Linked DNA regions of Daphnia pulex. The main gene of each other region encodes a partner of the protein of the gene in region 4 in a complex. Links are inferred from orthologs where the notes say so. Each region holds a gene or a part of one and is shown on either strand. Other genes may lie near its edges.

Region 1 (7,433 bases), on a different chromosome or scaffold from region 4:
ACTCCGGCCGGACTTCAGCCCCCCTGAATCAGAAGACTGCCCAGCTGATGTTTATGGCTGCTGACAAGTACAACATCGACGACCTGAAAGAATATTGCGCCACTTTTCTTCTCTCCCAAATGGAGACGACCGACGCTCTCGGCCTGCTTATCTGGGCCCACCTGAACTCGATCGAGAAAATCAAGGAAGCTTCTATTAAATTCATCGCGGCCCACGCAAGAATAATTTTCAGAACGAGTGAGTGGAAGGAGGCTTGCACCGCCCACCCTAACCTCTGTTTGTTAATTACCCAACGAATGTAATATAATTTGCAAATTGACGTTTAAAAATCTATGGACGTAGCATTTGTAGCTTATTTTCGTTGTGTCGTGAACAATTCATGTACTATCGTGAAGCCAATGCATTTTTTTTTTGGGAATTACAATTGGTGATGAATACAGACATTTTTCCAGAAATTCTTAGACCTGTTGGTAATTTTCTTCCAATTTTTTCTTTAATTACAGTTGTTTATTATACGGGTTATCGGTTTCCGTGAACTTAACGCTCCCTTCCACGGGAGCACTGAACGCTATCGCAAGAAATGTATTAACATTAAAAATGAAAACATATACATTTAGATTTATTTATGTTCACCAAGGTTTTTTTTTCAAAAAATGTATTTTTTATTTTTCGAAACATATCTCCTGTCTTCGCTACTTCGCTCAGGGTATCGCCTCGCAGTAGCGCAGTTGGGAGCGCGGCAGAATACAATGCTGTCACGTGTCAGGTTGCGTGTTCGAGCCGTATATCCTCCAGTTCTATTAAAAGCACTACAGTTGTTCGAATTGAATATCCGTAGCCGTCCGAACTGGGACATTAAATAACTGTAACAGGGTGAAGTTTGCTCGTATACAACTAGATCTGGCTTCAATCTGTTACCGCACAGTTAACTTTTAATTAATTAAATTTCAGCAGTTCTCTAATCGAAATCTTTACCGTTGCAATAAACACGTCAGGATTTCTACTCTACTCCATTACACGGGAGAGATGAGAAAACCCAGATATGCATGTTTCATTTCTGTTTATGGGCTAAGATTGAAAACAAATACATGTCGGGTAAGCAACTCTTAATCACAATGTAATATGAGCTAGATATAAACTATTCAACGAATATTTGGGTACATGATCCTACTCCATAACATTGGAGTTGGAGTTGCAAGCGGAACTCTCACTCTTTTTTAATTAAGCTGTTAGTAGTAAGAGTTAAAGTAAATATTGGAGTATTGGACTGCCATAATTTTATCGTTGGACCCCAAGTCTTCGGACTATCGATTACCAGCTACTATTGCTCGTGCTATCTTTTACTTTCGCTGACATAACGGTAAAATAGATGTTAACATTAAAAACTCTTGTTGTCCGTCAATAAATGCTGAGATGACTGTTTCTTTTCAAAAGAGATACATTTCGTTCATGGTTCTTTCAGCTTTTGACCTTCAAAGTCGTACGGAACTGTCGGTCGGCACCAATTCACGAAAAACGCTATAGGGTTAGAAATAACGCTGGGTTATGCCTTTCATTATTTAAAATCATTTAGTTTAATGTAAATACGATAGTAAATACGATGAATGCAACCGTCAAATTGTTTTTTTTTTTCTTTTACTTTCACTAAAAGATACGAGCAATAAAATTCTTGAATTTAGGTTCGTCAAAGTAGTAAACATGCAACTCACGATTATGTAAAGAGAATTGCATTTCTATTTCTCACTCCATCGTTATTCACGGAGGTCAAAAACAAACAAATGGATCGGATCACCGGGAGTGCAACAACAACAACGTCTTAAGATTACTTTGCTGTTGTTTGTTTGTTTACTAGAAGAATCTCCGAAAAACTTTGATGACGAAGCGAACCCACAAGGGTATCTTTCTATCCGGGTGATCAAAAGTCGTACCGTTGACCAGGTCGCCTTGCTGAAAGAGATTTCTCCGTTCTCGATGAAGCTGATCCCGTAGGGTAGGATTGATGGTCACTACTGCCAATTGCGCTTCCAAGTCTCGATAAACAGAACGATATCCTACGGGCCAAAAAAGTGTCAGTCGTTTGAATTTTTGACAAAAATACGAAAACATGTTACCAAAGTTAGGAGATCCTACTAGAGTGAAAGAGGGTCGAGGATCTCCTCGATTAAAAGAGATCCACAAGCCCTTTGCATGGAAAGTCCAATTCTGTCGTTGATATTCCCACAATCGAATGCGAGCTTCCAGCGCTCGATCAACCACTCGTCGATAAAATTGGTAAGCCAGTAGAGTATAACCTGATGGGATTCCACCTGCGAATCCTTTCGCCCCGAAAAAACCATTGGCCTATTGGGAATAAATCAATCAAATTAAATGGGAGAACGTTTGTTTGAATGGTGATAGGGGCTTACCAGAGGATGTGCCATGAGAATGTGAACATTTGGCTGGGACGCTTCTAGCAAACTATCCATATAGTCCTGAGTCAGGTTGAAGTACCCGGTTGCTAGACATAATTCGGCGTTTGCCGGTACGTTTTCTAGAATCTCGCGCGTCAAGATGTTATCCATGTAAATGTTTAGCTGCCCCATCTGGACGAAAGGGAAGATCCAGGTGTCGTAAGCAGACGGATTCGGCCATTGAAATATCGAGGACGAAACATTTGCTTTTATTTGCTTTTCAAACAAGTTGTTGATTCTCCGTTTTGCTTCTTCTGTAAATTCAAGCCGATTGGATTCAAACGGATGGTGAGGAAAAGCGGAATTCAAGTTAAGGCAGTTGTTTTCACTTAAATGAAATGAAAACTGGCACACAGTTTCTACTAGTTGGTCAAAGAAATCCACTAAATCTTTGCAATCTTCCATAATTATGTATCGATCTTGCCGATTTGTGAAGTAATCGTGGCTTAAATTTGCGCCACTGATTAATAAGGAATCGTCAAATATGTAAATCTTCATATGTTGCAAGCCAATAATTTCATTCCATCTTTCTGGGAGAATTTTCTTTAATAATCCTCTAAGTGCTGGAGTGTGATAAAAATGGACTGAACACTGCTGGCTGTAGGACTGAACTAAGGGAAGCAGCATTGTACGGGAATTGAATTGGGCACCTCTAGAGCCTCTTGTTGCATCCAACAGAATTCGAACTTTCAGGCTGGAGCCAGAGTTTTTCTTCAAAGTACTTTCAATTGTTTTTACAAGCTCATTTTCATGATTTCCTGTTCCAAGATATAAGGATGCAAAAGTGACTCTTTGACTTGCTTGACTAGTCTTTTCAATAAGTGTTTTGTAGAAATCTTCAGGATCAGACAAAACTCGAACCTAAGAAAAAATTTTACAACTATTACTAGAAGACACTAATAAAATACCTTATTAGAACACTAACCTTATTTCCGTTCACAGGGAAACAAGGGGTTTTACTTCCGAGCCATCTGAAATTTTCAAGGGTCGTTAACAGTTCCGTTCTCTGCTGTTCATCACTGTCGGGTTCCATTTCGGGACGATGCTGGAGATGAAGTGATCTCGAGACAAGGTTACGTTGCCAACCTCTGCGAGCAGTCTTGGGAAGGAAGTGCCAAGATACTCGTTGTCGCCCAGCAACGCATATCGTTGTTGAAAAAAGTATTGCTTTTTGGCAAATTAGTGACATTTACTTGTACGGACGAATGAAATGAATCGGCATATAAACAAACAGACATCTGATGGCAAAAATTAATACTAATGTGATTCGCGCAATGTTTTATTTGATTCGTTAAAAAAATTTCAGTTGACTTTATATTTTCCATTTCGAACATAAGTTAATTAGTCGATTTAAATTGCACAATATCATTTTGACAAGAATATCCACAAATATTTATATTCTTAAATATTTTGATATCGCCATAGCTTAGGCAACGTAGCAGCATGGTATAGCAGAACACGATGAATTATTGTCATTTTCAAGTGTGCTGTTGTTTCCTTTTTTTTGAACTTGATACATTAGGATAATTAAAACCAAAAGAATGGTAGACATTCGCCTTGCTTCTGAAGTGCCTCCTTTTCATATCGTCGCTGATTCTACTGAACCCAAACATCTTGTCACACCTGGCTCTTTGATCACAAAGGAAACAGGATTCATGAGGTAGATTGTTAAAAGTTTTGCCATTTTCTTGATGATAATCTTATTTTATGTTTTGCTAAGGGGTCATGGAACATACATGCAAGATGACTGTTTGTACTCCAGTGTTGCTGGAGTTGTGGAGAGAGTCAACCAACTTATTTCAGTTAGACCCTTGAAATCTCGTTATCATGGGGAGATTGGAGATGTCGTAATTGGTAGGGTTACTGAGGTTTCACAGAAACGTTGGAAACTGGACACCAATGCAAGATTAGATTCAGTGCTTCTTCTTCAGTCAGTCAATTTGCCTGGTGGTGAACTCGTAAGAAAGACTTTTTATTTGTGCAATTACACAAATATTTATATCTCATAATGCTTTTAGAGAAGAAGATCAGCAGAAGATGAATTAGCCATGAGGCAATACCTGAAAGAAGGAGATTTGGTCAGTGCAGAGGTTCAAAACATCTTCAATGATGGAGCTCTTTCTTTACACACCCGCAGCATGAAATATGGAAAAGTATAACAATAAGTTATTTAAAATATTAACTGTAATAACAACCATTTATCTGTTATAGCTTTCCCAAGGTTGCCTAATAAAAGTTAGTCCATCTTTGATCCGAAGACAGAAGACTCATTTCCACAACTTGCCTTGCGGAGCAAGTATCATTATGGGTAACAATGGATTTGTTTGGATCTGCCCTACGCTCCTTGACGATGGCGCCGGTGGATTTGTTCAAAACTTGGAGGTGCGTACTAAAAAGTCGATGTTTGTACATTATCACGTGGAAGCTAATTCTGTTGAAACCTATAGACAGTTCCGCATGCCGATCGACAAGCTATAAGCCGGTTAAGGAATTGTGTGACAGCTTTGGCGCACTGCAAGATGATGATCTATGATACCAGCATTATGCATGCCTACGAAGCCTCCGTAAATGCTGGGCTTGAGGTAATTATTTTTACATTGAAACTAAATAATTCAATGCTAACTTATATAATGCTTTTATGTAGATCAAGGATCTTCTCCTACCGGACAAGATAAAAGAAATCGCTTTAATGGTTCGTAAGCAGTTCGAAATGGAAAAAGAATAATTTAATTTTCGAATAAACATGGCTCAGGCTGAACCAGAAGTTGACATTCGATTTCCCAAACATTAATGGTGTGGATCAGTTTATTCATACTGCAGACAAAGTTTTATTCTGGGGCAGGGAAAAACATAAACGAAGAAACATTCGATAATAAAGGCGGTTTTTTTTTGTTTCCAACTACAACCGGTTTCCCAAGAATATTAAAATTTTGTAGACTTCATTTATAAGTCATCCCCCCCACAAATCATATTTACATTAAAACAAGTGTGCTAGAGAAAACCAGGATAAGATCTGCCGTAAGCACCACTCAACAAAATGCCCTGGGCTAGTTTTGAAACACCTAAAAAGATTATATAGGATAATAAATTACTAATGGACCCCGTTCCCTAGGTCCACCAAGGAAGGAAAAAAAAAAGATTTAACCGGAAGTCATGTTAAAGCGCTGCTTTAACAAATCAAGCAAATAATAATTAACAAAAAAAAAAAATAATGATAAATAGAAACAATGAATATCTAGCGAAATTCCGTGACGACGAATGGATAACGATTATGTTTAGGAGGGCTTCACGATTGGAAAATGTCCCGTGTTTTTAGATATTAGGATTCCACCTTGATTAGATGGGTTTGTAATCTTAGACGCTCTTGTCGGGTCCCAACCAGCGGCGCATGAGGAAGTAGAACACGGTGCAGATGTACAGTAATAAGAGAAGAGCGCATGTGACGGCCAACGCCAGGACGGACGTCTTTGTTGGGCAAGTGCTGTTGAATACGGTCACCGTCTCTTCATGGACTGTGTAAGTACCTACATTTTTTAAATCAATTAGAATTTCATTCCTATCGTGACCGATTCAAATTTCCCGCCTATCTTACTGTTGTTGGGGAAATTGGCCGGCAAGGTGGCAGTCTGTCGGTGGCTGAATTTCGTATCTTCATCTCCAAAGTCAAGAACGAGGATTTCGTGAGACATGGTCATGTCCTCTTCGGTTTTTTCAACTTTCTCGGCGCTACGGCGCTTACGTCCCCAGGATTCCATCGTGTCTCTTCCCCATTGGCAATTAGCCTGCAATCCATCAATGGTTCGTTATTACATTATTTGAATTGAAATAGGGCGTATACGATCGTACCGGTTCGCAAGGTCCTAGACAGTATCGCACGTTGCACTGAAAGATGACACCGTAGCTCTCGGTGAAGCGGAAAGCTTCGTAGGTGCTCTGCAGAGCAGTTCCGTCCGGAACGAAGCGAGGGAAGATGGATGGATCAGTTGGACAACTATTAAGTAAATGAATAATTATTAGATTTTGTTAAGCAATTTAATTCAAGATTTAATTCTTACCCGTCGTCGTCGATGATCTGGAAGGTACTTCTGGAGTCTTTGGCCATGGCAAGGCAGCTGCGAGCGAAAATGCCGTATGGTGCTGAGTTTTTAAAAAAGAACAATGATGTTATTTTCATGTTGCAATATTAAAATGATAATTCCGTTTCATACTGTTGCCGGGAATTTCAATGCGGAAAATGAGTCGATCTCCGATACGAACAGTCTCGACATCGCCACCGGTGGGATCCAAAATGCGGATGCGTGGAGGTGGGGCAGCCGGTGCGGAAGTGATGCTGATCATGTCCGGATCTCTGTTTTCCCAAAAATTAATTAAAAAGAGATTAGATAAGGATCGGATGGAGAGGGAATGAAGTGGTTATGATGTTGTTATACCTGATGGGCATCATGCCGAAGGAAACGTTGCGCGGCGACATGTCGTAGGTGCATTTAATCTTGTAAATCTTGTCTCCTTTAGTCATGACGACGCTGTGGTGCTGGAGGACGATGGTGTTGGTGAACATGCCCGACATGGATTGGGTGTTACAGTCACCGCCGTTCATGGTCAAGTCCAACCGGAAGCTGTCGCTATTCTGGACGTCGATGTTGCAAGTTTCACTGCGGCCAAGAGCGTAAACGCGCCCGCTGAAGGGCCGGTTGGTTTTAACGAGAACCTCGATCTTGGTATCACGACAATGAACTCCGACTAAAGATAAGATTAAAATTCGAATATTGTTAAGTATTATTATTTTTTTTATTAATTGATTACCATCGTAACAGGTTCCAGTACGGTCGCAGTTGATGTCACTTTCGGTAGGACCGGTTTGATCGCCTCCGCTGATTCCGCCTGATCCATCGCCAATGAGCCCAGTGTTGCTGCCGCCGCTCCCACTGCCAGTTGATGCAGTTGATCCAGTTCCCAATTCGGTTCCAACGTTAAGACTTGGGC
Region 2 (7,230 bases), on a different chromosome or scaffold from region 4:
GAATCAGCGTTAAAAACTGGTTGCTAAAACCCCATCTAGCGACGGCTATTTTACATTACTGTGTATGTAGAACATGTTTAAATAGTGATTTGAATTTTTTTTACCCGTGTAAACACATTTTCTGGTGGAGGTCGGACCTATTGCCATGCCGGTCCGACAGGGCAATAGCCCTCTATGGCTATTGCCCTGTCAGTGTTAATAACCCCATCTAGCGACGGCTATTGCATTTTACTTTACGTATGTTGCATTTTGCATTTTTTCTTTAGTCAAGGCCTATTACACCTTCTTAAATTGTATCGTTCACGACTCACGAATCATGTGAGTGTTATCATGTATGTGGAATAATTTATGTCCCCATCACAAACTATAATGGATATGATGATTCTTATACCTACGATTGTTACTGAATTCTCAGGTTAGATAACCGTAATAACAGTAAGCGTTTTGTTTCATCTCGTTCAGTGCAAATAAGTGCAAAAAAGTAATCATTCAATTAAAAAGGCATAATAAAGGTTAAAGGGACGTGCTAGTTAAAACGCTATACAAGACACGGTGCACTTTAATGTGAAAAGAAATCATCGCGGAAATCTGAAAACTAATCAGTGGATCAAACATAAAAATCACAAATCACAAATCAGTGATTGAGAGGGTGATCTTTTACACAAGCAAAAAACATTTTCGGTGGTTCTTGTATCATAAAAATCAATTGAGAGAGATAGTACACGAGTGACGGTAAACACACTCTTGTGTAAAATTCGAAGGCAGGACACTAATTAAAACTGTATAAACGAAACTCTATAAACTAAAAAATATAATTGGCGCAGGAATACATAGGTAGAAAGATGAAAGATTTCAATGTCACGGAATCAGATCGATCATTAAAATTCAGTGAACTATCCGTCTTGTTTAAAAAATATAACTTAATGTTATTTTGTTAATTAATATGCGGTGATTGAAGTGCTTAAAAAATAATCGACCCGGGGGAAGAAAAGCATTCAAAGTGGAACGATTCAGTGCAACAGGCGTGAACCAGTTTTATTTTTTTAAAGTAGCAGGACGGCAATATTTCCTGTGTTCATGATTTTTTTTTTTTTAGACTATTGAATTTCCGTTAATTCTCTCAGACGTAAGAGGGTGAACGATGAACCATGCGCAGCCAGTTCTGCATAAAACGGGAGACGGAAGAACGGGAGTCCCGTCGGTTAAGTAGTTCAAATCTTTCGTAGCCTATGTATTTCTTGTTTGATTCACACGTTACGTGGGAATCAATCTGCAGAAAAGGTCGATAGGGTGAGTCACGTTGCTGGTTGATGTTTATTCAAGGTCGTTAACAACCCCTCGCACCCCATTCTGACTTCTGAGAACTCCGGCTCAACCTTCAACCAACCAACTGAACAAGGTCAAGGGGGGAGACTAAGGGTGACTCACTTTGTTGTTGTAAATAAACCAGGTAAAAACCCAACAAATGCGTTGCGTTTTTCAAAAATGTCTTACTATAAACGAGTTTTAAAACTATTCATCCATAATGATACGAAATTTTATAAAATATCCATAATTAATATACAATAGCTTACTTTAATTTAACTCTAGTTTTGTTGGATCCAAACATAGTAAAATAAAAAAAAACGAGAAATTATTTTCGTGTTAACTTATTCCAGATTAAGGTTTATAATCATAAGAAAACAAATTAAATGAAAAATTTTCTGGGATAACTTTACAATATTAAACGTTCCATATTAAATTATAACTTTCCTAGTCGTTAATTCTACATAGTATTCATATGGATTCAAAAACGCTACAATTTTTTTTCTTTTGAAGTTCATCTTTCTCATATGCTATTTGATTGATTTTTATGAAAAAAAAATCATAAACATCCCTTCGGATACCTTGCTAATAACGCAGGTAGCTGACATCATATCGTGACATGTGTTTTTCGAAAAAATAAAATTTTTGTCATAAAATTTGTTTGTAATTTTACCCTATGCATCTTATTTTAAAAACCCAAACCAAACCTAAAAGTTTTACCATTAAGATTGTTCTTGGTTCAGAAAGGCTACCAATAGCCGTCGCCAGGTGGCGGTTTTAGCACTGACAGGGCAATAGCTCTCTATGGCTATTGCCCTGTCGGACCGGCATGGCAATAGATTTCACGCAATTTGCTGGGACATGGCAGCTTTGTCAGGGGTATGGAGAGAAAGGTATGGGGGTCTTTCCATACCCCTGGCTTTGTTAAACACACTTTCCGTACCATGTCGAGAGTAGGCATGGTCGAGAGTACTCAAGGCATCATCTTATTGGGTAAAATGTGGCATCACGTGACTTTTGGCAACGTCTATTGGGAGATTGACTGTGTGCATGGACTACTCTAATTAAGGACGGGATTCTTCGCCTATCCTGCCTTGTTAAAGCTAGTCGGGTGGGGTATTTTCATGAAAACATTAATAAAAAATATCATTAAATTCAGTTTTTTTTGCTGATTCCAACTATAGATATAAATCTTAGTGAAATAAACTAATCATTAAGATATTATAAATTTACTTTCAGAAGTAGGGGTAAAAGGATAAAACACCGGTGCCATCTAGCAACCAAACACCCTAAGCTCTTAAGAATATACGCTACAAGGTAAAATATAGTTAGGCAGCTATGTCAGAGGACTAGATAAGAGAGTGGTTTTTTCTTTCTCTCGGTATGCATGCATGGGCATCTGCTTGCAAACTAACAAGAGCTTAGGAGGTTTGGTTCCTAGATGGCACTGGTGTTTTGCCCTATTTCAAATTTTTCGTTAAGGAATTGGAAATATCTCTATAAAAATAAATGTTAGGTATAGGGCTCTTCGGGATCTGTTTTATTTAGCCGATTTATCTGGCAACGCAGCATGGTTCGAGACTTTTTTAGGGCGAGAACGGGGAGAAGAGGGAGAATGGGAGGACACCCTCCTCCCTCCCATTCCTCCCATCCTCCCTCTTCTCCCCGTTCTAGCCCTAAAAAAGTCTCGAACCATGCTGCGTTGCCAGATAAATCGGCTAAATAAAACAGATCCCGAAGAGCCCTATAGGAACATATGGTAATTCTATGATAATTTTTAAATTCTGATTCTGATTCTCCCACAAAAAAATTTACATGGCCGACATAGGAAACGCCGAAGAATATACCGTCCTTAATTAGAGTAGTTCATGCTGTGTGCACACTTAACGAACCCCACCCGTGAGCCGCCCAGCAGTCGACGTTTTTTTCTAACTTCGAAGTTGTTCTGGTGTGCGAAAAAAATGACGAATAAAGAATCAGACAAATGTGTAATATGCACTCCCGGTAATATTAAAAAACATATTTTTTTAGTTGTCATTTTGATAAAATGTTTGCATTTTTCAGGACAACGCATATGTCTGTCGGATAACCAATATATTGGAGGAGCCGGAACTTACACAAGACAAGGTTATATCACATCATGTTTAGCAGGTGTTGTTAAAGTAACTTCACAACCTGATAAGGTTAGTGGTTAAACAGTGAAATTAGATCAGTGAAACAATTCATTTGGTGTGAAATAATGAACTTCCGAATATTATGTTCAAACTTTTCTTCCTAGAGAATCCTGATAGAGGTTAGAAGTGGTAAAGAACAGACAGTTGTTCCATCTGCTGGTGATGTGGTTACAGGTACTGTTTAAATTATGTGTTGAATTTTGTGAATTTCATCTTAAACCTTTAAATAGCCAGAGTAACACAAATAAATCCTCGCTGGGCACGATGTGCCATTTTGTGTGTTAAGGACATTGTATTGGCAGAACCCTTTAGAGGACAGCTGAGGAAAGAAGATGTGCGTGCTACAGAAAAGGACAGGGTTGAAATGTACAAATGTTTTCGTCCCAATGACATTATTTTAGCAAGAGTGGTAATTATTTGATTTTGATCATTATTTCAACTGTAAAGTGAGTATGACTTCTAAGATGAAATTTTTTTTCATGTTGCTGTTAGCTCTCATTAGGTGATGCACATTCCTATGTTTTGTCAACAGCAGAAAATGAATTGGGTGTTGTTATAGCATACAGTGAAGAAGGTACTCCTATGGTTCCAGTAGGATGGCAAGAAATGCAGTGCCCAAAAACTTATGTTAAAGAATTGAGAAAAGTTGCAAAAGTTTCGCCAGAAACAATTTCAAACGAAAATGCAACAGGCGTCTAGATTATATTAATACATGAAATTTGACAACAAAGCTTTTCGGATTTTATTTTATTGGTGTTTTGTCGACTGCTTGCGTTTCTGTTCAATTCATTTCATTTTCTCCAAGTTCCTTTTTTCTAATCATAATTTATATTCTTATAGTTTTTTCAAGCATGTAAATAAAATGAGGAAACATCGCCAAGTGAAATGGAAAAATTTGCCGAAATCTCTAGCTGTCATTTTTATAATTGGGTATTTCAATTCCTAGCGAGTTCTTGTAATCAGCATATAGAAAACTACAATGTATCTTTTCTTTTTTATGAAGAGGAGGAACTACTCTGGCATACCAAATTCATTCTTTAAACCGCCGGTTTTCATCTTTATTGTCAGATGCCGCAGTTGAGAGAGAACGTCAAAAGGCTGGGTGCTATATTGCTATTCCTCAAACTGTAATTGAAACTGAGATTCATGCTATGACCTCTAAACTGAAAAATGTTGAACAAATGGTGGAGACTCTTATGAAGGGACCAACACATCTTGGTCTTGATTCAAATCCCTGGCATCTTCTTCGAATTCTTAAATCAGAACTCCCTTCTCATACTCAAGAACACTCCACTGCTTTAAAAACATTGGCTACTTCACATTATAATGGTATCTTCAAATATATTATTTACAGATTATGGTTATGGTTATAAAGTGTAAAATAACTGCTGATTATTCTTTATATAATATAGTTGGATTATCCCAGCAAATTGCCCAAGCATGTGATTTCAGGGTTAGTGTCAAACTGGCAAGAACAAAAAATGTTAACCTAAACTTGTTCCTACAACCCCCTGCTTACATAATTTCAACCTCTGAGGTTTTAAATTATATATTTAAAAGCTTATAAATGATGTGTCTTTTAAACAATCCTATATCCTCTATTATAGCCCATAGAAGATGTGTTAAACCACATTCTTGACAAAATTCCTACCTCCAATCAACACACTTGTGCTACATATTTTCTTAGCATTGCTCAAAAAATTACTGAAAAAGACAAAGATGAAGTAAGTATTTCATTTATGTAGTAGTTGATGAAACTTGTATAATATGATTCATTTGTTATTCCAGGAATTCAATCTTAGATGGGATCCTGATACTGCTAGAATTATACATCCGGGAAACATTGTTCAAATCGTAGAGCTGTACTTACAAGCTTTATTGGAACTGTCTCGTTCATTCGAATCCTCAATTTTAATGGTGCAAAATGGACTTCTTGTCGCGCTCTGGCGAGTCGTGCATATGTTCAACAAGGAAGCAGCGCTCAAAGCATTGTGTGTTAATATAATTGTGAACATCTCTTTATTCTCTCAGCTCCATCATCAGATTTTTCAATCAGGTATACTGTATAAGAATTTAAAACGTAATAAATTTTACGTAAAAAATTAACTTAACCTAAAAAATTAAACAGGTTGGATTGGCCTTTTAGCAGAATTTTTTGGTCCTCAACATGCTTCTCTAAATTTAGCTGCTGGAAAAGCTCTAGCTAATATGGACCAAAATAGCCGCAAATGTGGAGTATATGATAGATCAGTTTACCTGCTGCATCCGTTGTACGAGGATAAGGATGAAAGCAAGAAACCTTGCGTTAGACAAAATGTAGTTGGTCAAATTACGCTATGTTTTGCTAGTCTCATAAATGTTTACTAATTTTCTTTACATTACTTGTTAATATTTCATTCATATATCGCATCGACACTCGACAGGCAAAAAAATGGAGCATGGATGTTATTTTCGTTCATGGACTTCTTGGAGGGGTGGGATGGACTTGGCGGCAGAGTGAACTACTCGGCATGAATAGCGACTATAGCGAATGCTGGCCAAGGTATAATAATAATAATAAGCTATGATGTCATGCTGGCTCACTAGGTAAAGTTTATGATTACTCATGTGCGAGTCGTTAAGATTAACCATAAAAGAGGAGGTTGTGTTGACCCGCTACACCCTTATAATCTTTATTTATTTACTAATTTCAATGGGAATTTATTATTTTACAGGGACTGGTTACCGGCTGACATTCCTGATCTCCGAATTCTAGGTGTCGATTATGCGACTTCTCTGTCACACTGGAAGAGTCGATGTCCGGATGATGCACGTAGGTAATGGAAGCATAAAAATCGGAATAAGGGGGATTTGTATTGGTTGCTTTGAGACAAAGTAGAAATCTTAACCTGTTATAAATCATTTATTACAATAGGAGTGCAATCAATTCTAGAGCAGACCAAATATTGCTTTCACTTAAGCTAGCTGGAGTGGGAGGTCGACCTATTGTTTGGGTTGGACACTCCATGGGAGGCTTGCTATTGAAACAACTTCTAATTAACGGTAGGGTGTTGTGGATCCGCTCTCTTCGGAATATTCACTAGCTGTTATTCTTCCCTAGCTTCGAAATCTACTGATCCTGAGCTACAGAATATAGTCAGGAACACAAAAGCATTGTTAATGTTAAGCGTCCCACACGACGGATCAAGTGTAGCAACCTTGAATCTACCTGCGCGTTTCCTTCTGCTTCCTTCTGTAGAAGTAGAAGAATTAAGGAAAGGTGAGTAAAAGACAATGTTGTAATACTACTTTTTGTTTCTTTATCTACAGAGAATTTCTTGTGCAATGCAGGCTCTAACATACTAGATAATCTGAACTTAGAGTTCAAGAACTTGTTGCTAAAATTCCCAATAGGAATTGTCAGTCTAGTGGAAACCAAAGCAACGCTAGTACAACCATGGGGAATTGAGTTCAAATTTGTGGAACCAAATTCTGCTGGTAAACCCATACTTTATATGTATATACATTTTTTGTTAATCTCTTGATTTTTAGATTTACTTTCCGCTGGTGAAGTTCATTATTTACCTGTTGACCATTTTGAAATTTGTAAACCTCTTAATAGGTATAATTTCATCTTTATCGTCTTAAGTTTTTGTTTAACATCCGAATCTTTTTATTTTTTTTTAGAAATTCATTTATCTACCAGCGCCTTATTAAGCTGATTCTGGGAGTTCGGGTAGGATCTCCACCAAAAGATCTAGTTCTCACACTA
Region 3 (8,636 bases), about 7.0 Mb from region 4:
TATTATGTCAACGGAACAATAAACAATTTACACAACCAAACAATAAAATGTAAGAATGTTTGGACACTTACAAAGAATAAACAATTTACGCAACCAAACAATAAAATGTAAGAATGTTGGGACACTTAGAAAAGACCTAGAGGTTTGACAGTTGGATACTTCTACCTTTTTATTTTGTTCACTTCTTGTAGAAAAGTAAGCTGTGATTGGTCAATGAGTTTTTCATAGACCCTTCCTGATTGGCTGGCTTCACGTAGTACCTGACACACTCACTAGAGGCGCTCATCATTTTTTCCAAATCGGACCACGTTTACCCTGAAACCGGGATAGGGAAGCCAACACGGCCGAGAACCGACCAGGTATCTATTGCTCTGATGGGATTTCAAAAATAGGGTGTTGAATAGGTGTAGTAGATGGGTCCTGTTTTTCGGTGACAGGTTGTTGAGCATGGCATTATTGACTAGGTCGGCTCCTACCGCTTTACTTTTGGATTTGGGGAGGGATCTCTCGAGTTCTTCCGGTGTGATTGGATCGTTCAGGATGTTGTGGGTGGTGGATGTTATGTTGCTGTTGATGGTGGCGTAGAAGTGGTCGTTAGTTGGTAGATTGGCTGGGTACACACTGCTGAATCGGTCGAGGAATAGGTCGGCCTTTTCCTTCGGGCTGTTTATCGTTGTGTTGTTGTTTGAGATCAGGGGGCCGTCTGGTGAGAGGTTAGATCCTTTTCCTAGCATGCTTTTGGTGAAAGTCCAGAGGCGGGGTTGGTCTTGCGGGCCGAGGTTCGAGATGAAGGAGGACCAGGCTTCCTTTTTTGCCTTGATGATGTGTCTCTTTTTCAGGGCCTCGGCTTTTTTCCATTCCGTTCTGAGGTGTAGCGATGTAGGTGATTTGCACCAGTTTTTGAGTGCAATTCGTGCGTTCTTCACTAGTGTGTTGCATTCTGCGTTCCACCAGGGCCGCGATGGTTCTGAGTTTCTTGCCCGTGATGGGTTTGATTTTTTGAAGCATTTTTCGTTTGCTCCGTTCAATCCTGTCATGAAAGCTGTAGTGGCTGCTTCTGGGTTCTGGATCTCCGAGAACTTGAGTTCTATGAGTGCGGTGTCTAGGAGGTGGTTCCAGTCTGCCCACTTGTTTTCGTTGATGATCCATTTGGGCGGTTGTCTTGAGATTCGAGCTGGGGTCGTGTTGAGCGTGAGGATTATGGGGAGGTGGTCGCTACCTAGGCTTGGACCTATTGAAATCGTTGCTGAGGTGGCGAGTTCAGATGATGTCATAGTTAGATCGATAGTGGATATTTTCCCGCTTGCCGGATCGATCCTTGTACCTAGATCAGTAGGTGTTATGAGGCATATGTCTTGGCTGTTGAGGATGGTTTCGAAGATGGTCTTCCCTGCTGTGTTGGTGGTTGCGTTGCTTTCCCACATGTCGTGGTGGCCGTTGAAGTCCCCTCCAATAACCACCGGGTTGGGTCTGTTGAAAATTTCCGCTACGTCAGCCATTTCACAGTCGCCTTTGGGAACATAGGCAGAAATGAAATCGATTTTTGAGTTGCTTCTTGATAGGATGCTGACGCCGATGGCTTCTACGGTGTCATGTGGGGTAAGGGGCAAGGGGGTGAACGAAAGTTGTTTATTAATTAGAATTGCTACTCCTCCCCCTGATCTGTTAGGGCGGTTCTTCTTGAGGATATGGTAGGCTTTGAATTTAACGTAGAAAGATTTCTTCCAGTGCGTTTCGCTGAGGAGGATTATTTCAGGTTTAACTAAGGATAGGAATTGCCGGAATTCTTCTAGTTTGGCTTTGGTGAGCCCTCTGGCATTCCACTGGAGGCATTTGAAATTATTTGTTGGGTTTGGGGTAGTGCGTGAGTGGTGTACTGTGTGTCTACTTATCATTTTCTGTGTCCATGTCGTCTGGCCATTGGCTGGTTGTGCTGAACATGGGGCTCTGTTCATTTGTGTGGTGTAGCAGTTTAGGGTTCATAGTAGTCCTCAGTGGGTCCGCTGTTACGTGTGGGGGTGAGTGGGACCTGTCTGTAACTCTCCCCATTAGTAGTTCTTCCAGCCTGTCAAATCTGTTTTGCTGTATTTGCATGTTGATCTGTTGCTGCTTATCAATGCTGCTGAACCGTTGGTCGAATTTACTAATTTTCTTGTTTGTGTCTTCTAGGTCGACCGCCAGCGATTGGATGTTTACTTGGATTTGTGGAATGGTGGCTGCAGTCATGGTATACATCTCTTGTTGGATGGCCTTTATTTGGTCCTGTAGGGTTGTCAGGTCATTCCTTGGGGTTGGCGGCGGTGCGGGGCGGTTGGTTGGGGTGGGGGTTCGATTGGTTACTGAGCTGTACAGATTTGCGTGGCGGGATCGAGCTTCTTGTATGGTGATTTCCTCCAGGTAGGCCATTTTAATAATGCTCTTCATTTGTTGGTATGCAGGGCATTGATCGCTGTCTGCTTCATGATCTCCGTTGTTGCAGTTAATACACCTTCTTGAGCATTCTTGGTGTGTCTCGTGTTGTTGTTTGCCACATCTTTTGCAGTTAGGGCCATTAGCGTTGCACCTGTTGGCGGTGTGGCCGAGTCTCCAACAGTTCCTGCATCTGTATGGGTTTGGTACCGATACCTTTACTGGGTAGCTGATTGACGCTATCTTGATCCTGTCTGGGACCTCTTTCAAGAAGGTAAGTGATACTGTTGTCGAGGGGGAGCCTGGTGAGTTGCGGATCGGGAGCCGTTTGACATGTGTCACGTGCTGGTCTGCTAGAGCTTCCAGAATCTCCTCCTCCGCGTCACTTATCGGGATACCAAAAATTACTCCTACCTTCCTCGCTGTTGACCGGGTGGGCAGAGTGCTAGATGTTGGTCTGCCTGCCAGGGTCTTGATGTTGAGTAGTACTTGTTGTTGTTGCAAGTCAGTAGGGCTGACGGATAGGTCGCCGCCTGGGAGTACCGTGGAGTCCCGGGGGTCCCCAATGGCTGTGCAAATGGCTTTTCGCATGGCCTCACGTTCTGCTAAGGACATTGATTTGAAGTTTGGACGGTCATCCATGAGTTTGATTATCACAGGGAGGGGGTGGTCTGTTGAGTTGCACGGTCTTTTCGAACGCGGTGGGGCATCACGGTCGGCCATTTTGTTGGTGGCACCTGGCGCGGAAATTGCTTTGACACGGGGGCCTGTGGGGGGGGGGGGGGGGGTCGCGCGTGTTTGTCTGTCGGAATAAAGCGGGGGGCGTATATACGGTGAGTACGTGAGTCTGCTGGCACTTTGAGAGAGAGAAGAGAATGCACGTCAGGTCTCTACGAAGGTGCAAGGCGAACTCCCTTCCTCGAGTTCTTTAATTAAAAAACAATCAAAACATGATCTACGTGTTATCTGGTGTAATCATCGCGTTTGGTTGCCATCGTTACGACTGTCATCTTCAAGTGCTTAACCGCCGCTTTAGCAGACGACAGCTGTAAACAAAAGCAAGGCCAAGATCAAAGACACTTTTTTTTTCCTTTTTTTTGAGCAGCCTTTCCTCTTTTTAGGGTAGAAGAATATATAATTATGTATTGATATACTAAATCTCAAATTGCATTCAAAACCTTATAGATTGGAACAAAGATTGGAAGCCTGGTCCATATCGCAAGACAGGTGCTTAAAGAAGTGACACTGCAGATGGACTCGGATATGGTGTGACTTAATTTTGATGTGTATTTTAAACAGGCAAGAAAAAGTGATCCCAATTTCATTGTAGATGATAAAACAAGCTGTAAAAAATGATAATGAGCCTCCTGCAATCTTTGAGGTGAGAGAAAATTTTGATGACATAAAAAGGGAGAGTGAGGAAGCAGCAGAAGATAACCCTGAAGGGAGCTCCAACGGAGATGAGAATGGAGATGATGATTTTAACTTGGAAGCATTCAATAAGGTTATAATTTTGATAAAATGTCACAATTATTAATGCTAAACGGTTTAGCATTAATAATTATATTTTCTTTACAGGAATATCCTGAGCTTAGTGACACAACACACCAAAGAAAATATGGATGTAAAGATGCTTGAAAGTCTTTTCATCACAAGAATGTTTTGGTATGACATATGAATATGTACTATGGGACCAAGCTAGCACCTGTGAATTGTGATACATGTGTGAAAACATTTTTAGGCAGTGATTATTTGCGACTTCACGTCATCCTGGCAACATCAGGGAGTGAAGCCCTTTAAATGTGACGTTTTTACGACCGATCCAACTTACGTCAACATACGAGATCACTGATGAAAAACTGGCCCGTCCGTAATGTCCGCACAAATACTTAAACTGTCTGAAAACATTTGACCATTCACACGAAAGAAAAAACATTCAGTGTGATACCAGTGGTGTGTAACCTCACAATATTTTTCTTCATATCTTTCTCAAGATTTTTAACTGTGCTATAATCAATTCGCAATAGTAGCGACGCAAGGAACAAGACGATTTTAATGTCTTATTATCATTTACGTGTTGAAATGTCAAATCTTGTTACTAATTTTCCTTTGTTCTAGGAGCTGGAAAAGATTTTCGCTAGCTGCTCTGGGTCATCGTCAAAAGTTGCCAATCCGGAGAGAGAGGATCGATTATTGAGAGACGATATGAGCTGCATGAAATGCGACCGAAAATTCCCTTTGATTGGAGCGGCTATCCAGCTGCGATGTTCTACAGTTTATTCTCCTCTTTTGAAAGGTAACGCAGTTCTCTTGTGTTAGATCAAACAGTTTTATTTGATGCCTTGTTAATAGGTCGTAAACAGCAGCAGCAGCAAAGCCCAGTTGTAGTTCCTAATAATGACGTGTCTGGGTCTGAATCAACTCCATCCTCGAGTAATCTTCCGGGCAGTGACGTCATCGTAGCATCCAATGAACCGTCTTCACCCACCATCAGCGGTAAGGAGGCTTCCGACACTTCGGAAGAAGGAAGTCGAGGTGGTTGTGGATAAAATCATGCGACTCGCTTCTATTAACAGTGAGCAGCCAGAAAAGTGGCTCAGTTTGGAAACAAGTTACCCGCTTAATCAACTAGTTAACATGTTAATCGTCATCGGTAACCGAGGTGTTGTTCTGAAGTTCGGAACGAGTTGGTCTCACCTCATTTTGCTTCGTGATCAAAGACGAACCAAGAACGCGTGACTCACTTTCTCACTGGTAAATCATTTTTATTGTGTTGTTCTTTTATTTAGCTAATATTCTGCGGTTTAGATATTCTTGAGAAATCCGGATTTACTGTTCCGCCGTTAAGGACGGTACTCATGGCGGATCAATGGCTGGCTTTGATTGGACTCCGTCAGAGGAGATCAGGACACTGTTTTGACGGGATCTGCGGATGAAGGTGAAACGGACGGTGTAGTGTAGGATCTACGAGGACGAGTACCCGATTCATGCCGGATAGCAATTCTCGCGTCTTCCTCTTTTGTGTAAACTGACGGGTCGAATGGGGCAATAGTAAGCAACAGAAAAATCACCAGCAAACGGCCAGTTATAGCAACACAGCCTTGATGGTCACAAGTTATCGTATGGTTTTAGTATGTGGTGATCCTCGTTGGCTGACGAGCCATCAAGTTCAGTTTTGAACGTGGGGTGGGAGGGGGAGAGGGTCGCTTCTCAGCCTTCAGCAACTTGTCAATCTCGTCTCTTTGGTAAAATGACGGCCAATATCTTGTCTATTTCACCTGCATTACATTTGGTTGTTTTCTTTATTCAGGAAAACTTCGAAGTAATCGTAAGCAAACCGGAACAGATCCGGTATTATTTTCTCGAATGGACAGTTTCTTTGGCTACTAGAGAGGCGGTTGATCAACTGGTGATTAAATTTTGATTCCCTCCTTTGTTTTGTCCCGTCTTATTATTAATCCTTTATTTATCCTACTAATGTTTTGAACATATTAGATTGAAGCTGTACGATATCGTTGGGAAGCCGTCTTCTCCGTTGAGCTGGAAATCAACGAGCTCGACGACTAACATCATGTAATATCCCCTCTCGATTAGACTTATCGTTTTTCTTTATTGTTACCTTGCTGTACATGAATTCTGTGTGAAGTGCAATTATTGTTTCAAAAGTGAGCCTTTTCAACTTGGAAGTCTAATTAATTACACAATGTGCATTCAGATTTCAGATAATAAGCAATTTATAATAAAATTATTATTCATGTATTTTTTTTATTACTGCTTTAAACACAAATTCACTAAGCATGTTTCCAGAAGGGTGACTTTGTTTTGGTATTCAAATATTTGTAAAGCTTTTTTATTCTAGAGTTCAGCGTGCCCCACTTTGTTGGATGAGTGAGGGGTAATCTTCTCGTTGCACAAATTTCATCTTGGGCAACAGGACCTAGAATTAAGTTTGAAACAACATAGTCAGATTTACTCTTTTCTTTAAAATCTTTGAGTTTTGTAGTACCTGATGCTCATTTCCTTTTACTCTTCTTAACCAGGGAGGAACATTATTGAACAATTGAGTTGGGTGTAAGGTCTTTCGAGTGATCTTATTAGATGGACCAAGGATATCAATGTAGTCATTCTGGCCAAAAAGTGCTCGTTTGAGGAAGGCGGAGGCGGAGGCTTCTACGCCGACGTGTCCAGTGGCTGCAGACGATTCTATACCTGTGGAGTTGGGAAAAAGAACAGGTAATGTAACCGACACCCAGCAGAGTGTCTAGTCGTTTGACAAGTCTAAGATTAATATCTTATTTCCAAATATCTGAGAGCTTAGAATTTTAAAACAAACGAAAAAAAAAAAAAAAAACACGATTGCATTATACAGAGTGGTGTCGCATACTTTTACGTGTGGAACCGGGCTACTGTTTGACCAAGCCACGCTAACATGTCAGGACATTGACAAAGTGGATTGCGCCTTGTCGCCGACTTTCTTCTATCTAAACGATCCTGCTCTCCGTCCAGGTATACACACATTTTTACTTTCAACGTTTTTGTCTATTTTTTTAGATATGCTGGTTTAGAGTTCTAATGCTGAACATTTTTTCCAAAATAGCCGTTACAGAACCGATGGTCACGGACACTTTTCAGTCGTTCAAAACCACCACCACCACAACACCTTCTCCTGAAGAAACAACAACATCCTAGGATTTGGAATTTTTATATATAAATAATTAATAAGAAAGCATTACGTTCGTTTCACCATCGCCGGATTGATTAGTCTTGTGCCATTGATTTCCAGATATCAAGAATACATTCCTATCATAGAATTTAATCGTCTCTGCGTTCAACAGGCAATGACATTTTATTGGCAAATCACGCATCACAGTTGACCAGGTCTTTAACAAATTCGAAATAATTGTACTTGATGTCGTATTGCATATCGTACCAGTAGTTGACTGCTATGCAGCCGTGAGACTGGCGGACGTGGTGGAACCAAAGCGAGGGCAGGTAGAGCATTTCACCTTTCTCAACGCGACATCGAATCTGCCGAGCATTTTTGTACTTGGGATATTTTGTCAAGTCGGGCTTCAAAGGATCGATATCTATCCAAGGAATGGTTCCGTCATCATCCGGAACAATCTTCAAATCTCCGTCGATTTCTTGGTAACTAGCTTTGGGATAATTTGCATAAGGTATCCATGGCTGGTCTGTGGGAGGGTGGAGAATGAAGTCTTTGTATCCAGAAACGACACAGTACATGTTTTCATAGGGATCCTTGTGCACTGTGAATAGGAAAAATGATCTGTATTAGTTTATGATATTTTGACTGATGGAAGTAATGGTACTCGATGTGATTGCCCGCTCATCTCCCATCCAGAAATTGACTGCATCTGGCTTGGTGCCAAACAATGTTGAGGCCCACTCAATCTCGTCTGCAGAGTCAGCTATCAATTCTGCAAACTCTTTGGTGAGATTGGAGTTCTGTGTTTGAATATAGTGCACCCTGTTTACGACAGGGTTTTCCAGTGATTTCAAAAACTGGTTCATGGGCATCACGTTTTCCAGGGGAAGAACAAAGTGTCCATTTGTGACTGCATCAGCATAACCATTTGGGGTGATGGTTACTGTGACATCTTTTGTCCCATAAGACTGCCTTTAACATAACAAAAAAATGTCAAATTATGATAAGACTTAAGAGTTGATAAATAACAATAGTATGAATGGGGAAAAAACCTTAAGTATTCAATGTTCCATTTCGATAACGCCGGCCAGCTGTTGAAAGCATTACGGATAATCACTGGCCGATTTTGAGCCACATAATTTCTATAGAATTCCAAGCAAGTGGGCAATTCTTCCAGATAAGGCACATTCGTTGTAAGATAAAATTCTAAATTATTTCAATCATCATGAGAAACGATTTGATGAGAGAAGTGAGTGACAAGGCAAACCAAAAGCTTCACTGGAGAGTTTTTCAAACTTGCTTGTTGACATTCTCGTGAAGGTGAAGACTCACTCCAACATTTTGACGGTACTCACAGCAGACAACTCAGACGCCCGGGAAACGCGAAAATTGCCAAATTGTTTGAACGATTAGCCGCGCTTAAAATATGAATAAAAATAAAAAATTCGCAATGCATTTAATTAGCATGGATTTTTCGCTCCATTTGTAGAGTTTCTTGAATTATAATAGCCATCAGTATATTCATAATCATAACATAATTGAGGAAATATTAGCCTACTAT
Region 4 (8,484 bases):
AGTTAGAAATCGCCCAAGAAAACATCTGCTATCCGACCTAATATATGTATTCTTTTAGTTAAGAAGCCCTACATGATTATAGTTAACTTGGCATTGAAATCTCAGTTTATTATGACTTATTTCTCGTGAAAAAAAGGTTATTTAGTACAAGTATGTAGAATAAAACCGGTTGGGCGCATTGACGTTATTGGACAACTATAGACTGGAAAACACTAAGCCTAACTTTCGATCGCACACGCTATCTTTTAGTCGTGAACTCTACATTATTTTTAGCCATTCATTTTACGCGAGAGTGATCAGAATTTGGAAATTGTGATTAAAGCGCTTGTACTTTTAAAAAATATGGCCGAATTTGAACAAGGAAAACTGAAAATTGATAAGAAAATAAACAAAAGTTGAAGCTTCAGTGGCCAGCCAAACGTAGCGCCACTTGCAATCCTTCCAGAAAAATGCTATGTGAAACTTGAAAGAGTCGTATCTATAATGGCGATTGGGCTGAGCTAAAATCGATAAAGGAAGAGCCGGGTTAGGGGACATAGAAACAAGGAGAAGCCTTTATTGTTTTGAATGGCCTGGCGTAGTGGCGTTTCTAAATAATGTGCCGGTCTGCTGTGGACCAGTTCATAATCTAGATTTGAAAGCACGTCACTTTTTGATTTTTTTTTCCCTGTATGTCGGCCATGTTAAAATGTAAAATTTTTCGTTAGAATAAGGATTGCAGAGGACTCCATCTTTGACACGATAAGCTCATAATTATTAAGGAATGTTTTTATTTTATTTTTTAGGTTAGAATCTTGGAAGAGGAAAGCTTGTCCCCGCCATCTTGCGTCACTAACGTTCTTTATTGTTTCAAATACATTTTTTTGAATTCTTGGTGGAATCGATAAAGAGAAGAAAGAAGTTGTTATAATATTTGTTTCGCATTACCAGCAACCTGGATGAGAATTGAAAACAAAACCCACGAGAGATGAGATTATTAAACCTACTTCAATTCCTGGCAGACGATTATCTTCCAAGAATCGTTGATGTTGTTGTTGTATGTTATTGATAACAGTCAGAACTACAGAACATTTGCAATTTTACATTCCACAGCTCAAGTAAACCACACGTAGGCCATACGATGATTACATTCTATGAAATAAGTCGCTTTTAAGTGGGAAAATGTTCACACAACTCTTATTAACAAACGTTTTTCGGCACAGGGTCAACAGTCGAAATTCAACATTTTCTGTGATGATAATGAAGTACACGTTGCCCACGGCAGAGGGCGCGATATCTCGAACTTTTCTTTATGTTTTATTTAACATACAATCGTCTTAGAAAATCAACTGAATTTTGAAAATACTTTACAAGTTAAACTTGTTTTACTTTAAATTATTTGTGAAAGCCACATGGTAAAAATATTTTCTATAAAAAAGAACCAGCAACAAGGGAGTTTAGAATTTTCAGGAGACATGACGGCCCTCTCGATCAAGCGCGTCTGGATACCGTTTTCGTAGCTTGAGGGAGAATAACAAGTGTGTTTCAACGACGAACGACTTGTGTAGGCTTGCACTTTTCCTAAAAACTCGATTGGATACATTGAAAAGTAGCTAAACAAAAGTCAATTATTGCGAAGAATTAAGGGGAGATTTCCTCCGTTTTCTTAGTAGGTTGTACGGTAATCGTGAGATTTCAAGTAAACAGTTTGTTTTGGCTTACATACGCAATTCGTGAAAAAGCGTCCACAGTTCGTTGTGTACGTTGTAGTGAAAGGTAACTTTCGAGATTGCCTTTGTTGTGACTTTCGATCAATCGTGCGAGGGAGCACTCAGCATATTTCAAAGATGAATGGGTTTAGCACGGGTTCGGGTGAGGAGGATTCGCGTGATTCCAAGCGAAGCCATGATCAACATTGCTGCCTGATTGAATTTGATCAGATGATTGACGATGGCGAGAGATGTCCTAGAATGGCTGGAAATGCCTCTTACAGGTATGTGTGCTCTAATTGATCAAGAAACATTATTTTCAACATTTGTTTGATTAGTAAACGGATTCAAAAGACTGTACAACAAAGGAAACTACGGCTACACATGGACTCCTCTGTAAGTTATTCACACAAAGTTTCAGTAGGGACAAGAAAACCCCCTATTCAAGGGTCCTTCGTGTCCAAGTAGAAATTACCTGTCTTTTGCATTAGGCTTTCACTTGGTCACAAATTGCCCTGGACTTTTAAAAGTGTTGGAAATCCTGAGCATTCCCTCCGCTTTTGGAAGACCAATAAAGGCACAACCACTGTGGATGTTCCCTTGTCAGTTTTATTCAAGATTCATGAAGTATTATTTAACTTGTGCATTATTATTCTTAATTATAGGCCAGACACATCTATATTTGTGATTACCACAAGAGCTTAATTCAGTCTGTTCGAGTCCGGCAGCGCAAGAGGAAAGATTCTGAAGACGACTCCAACGAAACAGATCGAGACACGCTCAGTCTGCAAGAAAGAGAACGTGATGCTCCAGAAGTTGATCTCTTCCAACTTCAAATCAATACGCTAAGGCGTTACAAGCGACATTACAAAGTGCCCACTCGACCAGGCCTCAATAAAGCACAACTTGCAGAGGTACAGATATTGCCTAGTTAACCTACTATTATTATTATTAATTACTTACCAATAATCCTCGTGATTGAAATGATAGACCTTGATGCGCCATTTCCGGACTATTCCCGTGGTGGAGAAGGAAGCCCTCCACTCATTCCTTTACACCGTCAAATCTAATAAAAACAAACTCGATCTGAAACCAAACAATGACAACTTGTAAAACCGTGGTCTGTCTATGCTTCAACCCCTCCCCCAGTGCAAATCACGTTAAAGCACGTTTGTCTTCGAAATGATGAACTAGCGAAAGGATGGAACTCAAAAATATGCGTGCGTCTGTTGTTTTCTCCTTGGCATGTTTTAATTATTAATTTAACCTTGTAAATTCAAATACATTCGAACGAAAGGTTTAATCGGTGCATCATAGTCATTTTATGTAAGTTCGCTGGTTACCAACATGACAGGCTCCTCTTCACTATCATTTCCAACATCTATGTAATTAAGGAAACGGTGAGAAAATTAGATTTGAATGCCGATAGACGAGATACAGGACGAAACCAATGTTTTTACCTATTTCTTCGTAGACCCTCTTTTTTACTGCCACAGGTGGGAGTGGTTCAACTTCCATCTCACTTTCGCTGCTGGACGTATCGCAAGAGGTTTCTAATGTAACAACTCCTTGATCGTTTACAAGTTTCGTCTTCGTGATTGCCGAAGGTTCTTTTTTCGATACTTCAGCCTTATGATGTGACGCCTTGAAATACACTTCGGCCTGTGACTGAGTGGTGATTCTTTCTGTTTCCAGCGCTACGCTAGCAACTAACCCACTGTACTTTCCTTTGGCTCTACAAATATTGCAAAAAGAGAATGTTATTCACTTTCGGGTGCCGAAGAATTAGGCTGAATACCTTTCGGCGGCATCGTCAGCCAGAGATTTTTTTAACATTTCAACCATTTGAACAGCTCTTGATGCTGCCACATTCGCACACGATATAACTGCTTCTTTATGGATAAACACCCCATCGCCAGATATCTGTAATGTGCAAAGTTCTCGGTATGCATTTAAACCCATCACAAGTTTTCCATCGGCAGAACGTTCTTCTAAATTTGTTGGGTCCAAGACGCAAATTCTCCTATGGGGAAAGTTATAAATACATTTTCCAAAGGGAAAACAAAATATAGCGATCTAGTTACCCTTGGTTAAAGAGAGCAAAGGAAAGAGTTAAAGGATGATGTAGGATAGTGAGTGGAACTGGATCCCGTTCATCTAGCTGATGGATGATAACATCCCGACCATCGAGAGTTACATCCGGTCTTTTAAAGTGACAAAGAGCGCCTAGAGCAGCCAAAGTGGCAGCATCAATCAGATTTCCTTCATGATTCAGTACATGTATATCAACTCTCACTTCCCAAGCTTGTTCCTCAACCAAAATGCACAGGCTCTCCAAATCAATGCAGCGGGAATCTGTTTTTAAAATAGTTAATGTAATAAGGGCCATTGATGTATGAGTGGCAATGTATGTACATTACCTTTAATGCACCTTTCAACTAGCCTATTGACTTCAATGCCTTGTTGTCCTAATCTGCCAGCTTCAAAATGTTCAGCTGCCATAGTAGACATTTCAACATTGATAAACAGCATGCCTTCATTTGCTCTTGATGATTTCGGGACTTGGACACTGCAAGAAACTTGCGCCATCACCCTGACAAAAGATTCATTAAGGATAAAACACGTTAGAAACAAGTACTGAAAAATGACACTAAAACATGATACCTTGTGTTTCCAAGAAGGACCTGGCAGCATCCCCATTCTGTTCCGAATGTAATACAAGTCTTTCTCTGTTCCGAGAGACTACGCCCGTCAACTCTCTAAGAATGAATCGTAAACAATGTTAACAAAATTCGAAAAACAACAACTAGACCTGTGAGAAATACTTGTCCTTCTTTGACGCCTTGGATTACAGTTTGTTTCTCACAAATCGATAGCGGTGTTTCTTTCATTTTAAATATAAACAGTTGATAACTAAACCAGTGTATAAAAGAATTAAGCACTATTTGACGATGGAAATAAAAAGAACGAATAATTCTGCCCGACTGAAAAAGAACAATATTTAAGCAGACCACGTGCGTGAATGACAGACAACGTTGCCACTCGAAATCTTTTCTCTAGATTTAGATAGATTTATGATTATCTTAACTTCTATTCCTAAATATCAGGAAAGATAATTTTTCATTAAAAAAAACTTAAATTTTATAATAATACAATTATTTCCAATATTTTGAAGCAAACCAAGCAGCAGCGTTTAAAATTTGGAACGATCCGTTACCACGGTTACGGAAACATGGAAATCAAAACAAGCACGGAAGAATAGTATTTTTTCTTATAAACGCTGAAAAAACAATGTTTCGTTCACCAAGCGCCAGCTCTTTGCCACACTCAAGGTAAATTTATCTTTGCTGTAATTTAAGAAAAATCTTAAACATGTACATAATTTCTTGTTTCCAACCCTTGTAAATCTTGAAGTGCAACCCAAACGCGCTTCATACAAAATAGAATTCAAGTAATCGAAAAACACTTTGGTGAGATCTGCACCGCTCTAGCGTTATACACTAGAAAAATAGCCGGGTTAGTTTAATTATACCTTAATTCGATGGTGTTCGTAATAAACATAACCTGTGAAATCTAAATTCAGTCAGCGGGATAAAGGCGATTTTCTGGCACAGACATTAAATGAGTACGCTACAGCAGAAAATGTCAACAAAAATTGCAGTCAAGGTATCAAAGACTTTGCCGATAACATTTCTTTCATTTCAGATTACAGGTAAGAGTTTGAATTCGTAACGAAAAAATTAGTCAAATTAATTAACCGACTTTATTTTTAAAAAGAGATGTTTGCGTTAACCGTTTGGAGGAAACTGTCATCCAAGAGATTTCAAGTTACGCGGGCGTCTGCAAGTCGGCCATGGAGGACGTCCGAAGCTGTAGCATTGCGTACGAAAAAGAAATAAGTCAATTAAAATACGTTCACAAGTTACGGCAGCAAAACCCGTTGGGACGAATGCAAATAAGCAAAGCGGAAAGTGATTTAGCACACGCCACAACACAATCTGTCCGACTAGGCAAGTCTATAGAGGAACGAGCCGACAAGCTCGAAAAGAAGAAGCTCAAGGATCTTATTAGCTGGATGAAGCGATTGGCTTTAATCGAAATGAGTTTTCACTCAACGTCGTTGTCCGTTCTTACAAAAGCCTATCAGCAGTTGGAAAACGTCGATGTGGAATCAGATTTGGAAGAATTCCGCAACACTTTAAGGACCTATATGCCTCTTCCAGAATCCAGTCCTGCCAGAGCCCAATCTGTGCCGTCAATTGCGTTGCCTAACACACCAACAGAAACTGCGTCCAAGGTCAAACGTTCCAAGTCTTTCTCTGATTACAGACAGCGAGCCGAGGTATCTATTCATACTAAATCTTGGAGTGTTGATCAGTTCTGTGATATGGATTTTGTTTTACAGTCCCTGGATTCACTGAAGGTGGAGGAATATGAAGAGTTAAAACAAATGGAAGGCTCAGACGATGACGACGAAGAATCCGAAGAAGAATCACCTCGCCCGCGATCTTCTCACGTCCGGCGCAAATAGCTGTTACAAATAAAGAGGTCCAGAGTCTGATTTATTTCAAAGGTATGTTAAATACAAAGCCAGTACAGGGAATCTTTAGTATCTCTTTTAATGCTGTTGACGCTTGATGCGGCGCTCCAATTTGCGTTGCTTCTTGTCATCCTGTGCATCCTGCTCTGCAGTTGGGGCTTTCTGGAAAAACCATGGACTAAGGAAATGTTTCCAAGCCAAGTGAAACAGTCGACAGGGAATCTAAATAAGATAATTTTAAGTAATAAAGAATAATGAAATGAATTTCTGAATAACTTACCACCAACAAGATAAGCCAAAAGTAACTGGAGATGGAAGACAGAACCTCGGTTGCACTTACTAGGATAATGGCATCTTTAATTTGCCTTTAATAACAAGAAAATGTGTTGACATACAAATTCATGAATCAGATCACAATTGAAAGCTTACTCTGATATTCCAGATTCCATGTTGAGATCAATTCCACCATCTAACAATTGTCCTGTTTCACTGTATTTGGCTCTAGCCATGTAGGCCATAAAGCGATAGCAGCAAAACTGAGCAAATGAACTCAGACATATTAAGAACTGAAATTCAAAAGAATGTGAGCTATAAATATTAAAATTTTAAATAATAATTTAAAAAAATCAACTATACAATATCAAATGAAGAGGTGGTGGACCAAAAAATGGCAGAGAATAATAAGTATACACCCACTGCCACAACAGACATATTTCTGTAGAAGTTGAGTGTTGCAACATTCTCTTCGACAATCTGTTTCTGGCCCTTGGTGGCCTGTTTTGCGCTCTTCTTTTCCTAAAGTAAGGGAAGCAAAAAAAAAACAAAATTACTTTACTTTGATTGACGGATGCAATGAAGGGATAATCGACGACACTTTCTCTCTTTGAAGCTAGAAAAAGTAAACGTCATGCAAGAGTAACGAACTGAGATAAATTTTCGGAAGTTAATTAGTTATTACAGTTAATAAATAGGTATTAGCGTAGAGCAAAAAATTCTTACAGCTGTCATTTTTCAGTTAAAATTCGCCGACAATCAAGCTATTCTGCTGTTGTTATGGCAACCACACAAAGTTCCAACTCGTCACAATGTTGCAAGTCTAACACAAATACAGAGAAAATACGAAATAACAAACCAGGAACTTATTCGAATTGAATTTAGATCTTTAAGAATTTTCCTTCTCCATTACAAAACGGTATAATAACTTTAAAGGTTCTTTGTAAAACTCTATCGAGTAAAATTACTTAGGCTGCCATCTAGCGACATTAATAAATACGATCCCTGGCTGGGCGCGCGCCAGTTTTCTAGATCTGAAATCTTTTTTGCTACTACATGTATCAACAGCAATCAACAATCAATATATAAAATAATTATTCGAACCCTCCTACTTTTGACGCAAGCAATCACGGCAGCAGAGCTCAACCTTTTTGCTTAAATAAACAATAAACTTAAAAAATACAAAAGGAAAAATAAGGAACTGCACGAAGTTTCAGGAAATGGTATCTGTATTAAGGGGCTGTCCATATATTACGTAACGCAATTTTTCACCTTTTTGGACCCCCCCTCCCCCCCTTGTCACGGATCGTAACAAAAAAACAGACACCCCCCCTTCTAATTACGTAACAAAAAACAAAACCCCCCCAGTGAATTTAAAAATACAAAATACAAAATTTTCTTGATTAAAGCCATGTATTTGATGTTACATGGTACAAACTCTTAGATAGGCTCAATAAAGAAGATGAAGGCGATAGCGGAGTACTAATCGATATTTTTGCCACTGTTTTAACTTTTTTTAATTGAAAAAAATTTTCGGCCTTGCTACGTAACGTTTTCAAAACTCCCCCCCCCCCCTGTAACATTTCGTAACACTTTTTGCAACCCCCTCCCCCCCCTCATCGCGTTACGTAATATATGGACAGCCCCTTAAGCAGCACTAGTAATAATCAATATCGGCTGTGTATGAATTCATGGCGTCTTATGAGTTTAATGATCATCCAATCTCCAAACACGTGTTAAACATTATTGCGACGGTGCTGTAGCTTCACATACAAAACGGTAACCAAAACTAGCACAGATACGGGATGCATATCCTCCACTAGGATAATCTTCTTCTACGTAATTTAAAAGAATGCATCGATTTGATACGGCCTCTTTGTCTTTCACTTTTTCAGTATTTTTCAGGTCGTCGAAAGTGATTGGTTTCTTGTTTGAGAACCATTGCCATTCGGTATCATTATACCTCCCAGCCGTCCAGTACGC

What was found.
Region 1: exosome complex component RRP45-like (region 4) and exosome complex component RRP4-like share a complex: the UniProt entries of both Homo sapiens proteins name them as parts of the RNA exosome core complex. The link is inferred for Daphnia pulex from reciprocal best matches to the Homo sapiens genes EXOSC9 and EXOSC2.
Region 2: exosome complex component RRP45-like (region 4) and exosome complex component CSL4-like share a complex: the UniProt entries of both Homo sapiens proteins name them as parts of the RNA exosome core complex. The link is inferred for Daphnia pulex from reciprocal best matches to the Homo sapiens genes EXOSC9 and EXOSC1.
Region 3: exosome complex component RRP45-like (region 4) and exosome complex component RRP40-like share a complex: the UniProt entries of both Homo sapiens proteins name them as parts of the RNA exosome core complex. The link is inferred for Daphnia pulex from reciprocal best matches to the Homo sapiens genes EXOSC9 and EXOSC3.

What each region holds. Positions count from the first base shown.
Region 1 is NC_060023.1:8,699,686-8,707,118, reverse strand, and holds exosome complex component RRP4-like, read left to right. Parts: upstream 1-3,877; 5' UTR 3,878-3,991; coding exon 3,992-4,110; intron 4,111-4,170; coding exon 4,171-4,408; intron 4,409-4,468; coding exon 4,469-4,603; intron 4,604-4,661; coding exon 4,662-4,832; intron 4,833-4,897; coding exon 4,898-5,032; intron 5,033-5,094; coding exon 5,095-5,175; 3' UTR 5,176-5,208; downstream 5,209-7,433. Other genes in the region: CDP-diacylglycerol--glycerol-3-phosphate 3-phosphatidyltransferase, mitochondrial-like, read right to left, coding at 1,849-2,051, 2,112-2,340, 2,406-3,311, 3,376-3,639; uncharacterized protein LOC124197887, read right to left, coding at 5,805-5,974, 6,043-6,232, 6,297-6,441, 6,506-6,587, 6,659-6,798, 6,881-7,190, 7,254-7,433. UniProt on the Homo sapiens protein: Non-catalytic component of the RNA exosome complex which has 3'->5' exoribonuclease activity and participates in a multitude of cellular RNA processing and degradation events.
Region 2 is NC_060026.1:7,113,550-7,120,779, reverse strand, and holds exosome complex component CSL4-like, read left to right. Parts: upstream 1-3,154; 5' UTR 3,155-3,173; coding exon 3,174-3,309; intron 3,310-3,369; coding exon 3,370-3,488; intron 3,489-3,583; coding exon 3,584-3,653; intron 3,654-3,709; coding exon 3,710-3,888; intron 3,889-3,971; coding exon 3,972-4,178; 3' UTR 4,179-4,207; downstream 4,208-7,230. Other genes in the region: protein SERAC1-like, read left to right, coding at 4,342-4,409, 4,483-4,808, 4,892-5,016, 5,087-5,203, 5,268-5,535, 5,608-5,795, 5,903-6,021, 6,194-6,295 and 5 more. UniProt on the Homo sapiens protein: Non-catalytic component of the RNA exosome complex which has 3'->5' exoribonuclease activity and participates in a multitude of cellular RNA processing and degradation events.
Region 3 is NC_060019.1:5,892,948-5,901,583, reverse strand, and holds the start of exosome complex component RRP40-like, read left to right. Parts: upstream 1-3,445; 5' UTR 3,446-3,531; intron 3,532-3,532; exon of another isoform or gene 3,533-3,594; 5' UTR 3,595-3,675; exon of another isoform or gene 3,676-3,913; intron 3,914-3,987; exon of another isoform or gene 3,988-4,074; intron 4,075-6,149; exon of another isoform or gene 6,150-6,346; intron 6,347-6,415; exon of another isoform or gene 6,416-6,575; coding exon of another isoform or gene 6,576-6,642; intron 6,643-6,778; coding exon of another isoform or gene 6,779-6,915; intron 6,916-7,006; coding exon of another isoform or gene 7,007-7,098; exon of another isoform or gene 7,099-7,230; coding exon of another isoform or gene 7,231-7,231; intron 7,232-7,236; exon of another isoform or gene 7,237-7,266; coding exon of another isoform or gene 7,267-7,676; intron 7,677-7,739; coding exon of another isoform or gene 7,740-8,047; intron 8,048-8,127; coding exon of another isoform or gene 8,128-8,281; intron 8,282-8,342; coding exon of another isoform or gene 8,343-8,385; exon of another isoform or gene 8,386-8,454; intron 8,455-8,636. Other genes in the region: bifunctional peptidase and (3S)-lysyl hydroxylase Jmjd7-like, read right to left, coding at 7,267-7,676, 7,740-8,047, 8,128-8,281, 8,343-8,385. UniProt on the Homo sapiens protein: Non-catalytic component of the RNA exosome complex which has 3'->5' exoribonuclease activity and participates in a multitude of cellular RNA processing and degradation events.
Region 4 is NC_060019.1:12,892,151-12,900,634, reverse strand, and holds exosome complex component RRP45-like, read right to left. Parts: upstream 4,720-8,484; 5' UTR 4,580-4,719; coding exon 4,514-4,579; intron 4,448-4,513; coding exon 4,353-4,447; intron 4,282-4,352; coding exon 4,109-4,281; intron 4,044-4,108; coding exon 3,773-4,043; intron 3,712-3,772; coding exon 3,487-3,711; intron 3,424-3,486; coding exon 3,149-3,423; intron 3,070-3,148; coding exon 3,032-3,069; coding exon of another isoform or gene 3,011-3,031; exon of another isoform or gene 2,956-3,010; coding exon 2,815-2,955; 3' UTR 2,802-2,814; coding exon of another isoform or gene 2,679-2,801; 3' UTR 2,652-2,678; intron 2,603-2,651; coding exon of another isoform or gene 2,354-2,602; intron 2,085-2,353; coding exon of another isoform or gene 2,027-2,084; intron 1,984-2,026; 3' UTR 1,973-1,983; coding exon of another isoform or gene 1,827-1,972; 3' UTR 1,027-1,826; downstream 1-1,026. Other genes in the region: histone deacetylase complex subunit SAP30 homolog, read left to right, coding at 1,827-1,972, 2,027-2,084, 2,354-2,602, 2,679-2,801; protein FAM92A-like, read left to right, coding at 4,980-5,020, 5,103-5,204, 5,272-5,400, 5,466-6,030, 6,094-6,219; transmembrane protein 208-like, read right to left, coding at 6,307-6,450, 6,509-6,593, 6,658-6,794, 6,865-7,023, 7,228-7,236; C-type lectin domain family 7 member A-like, read right to left, coding at 8,245-8,484. UniProt on the Homo sapiens protein: Non-catalytic component of the RNA exosome complex which has 3'->5' exoribonuclease activity and participates in a multitude of cellular RNA processing and degradation events.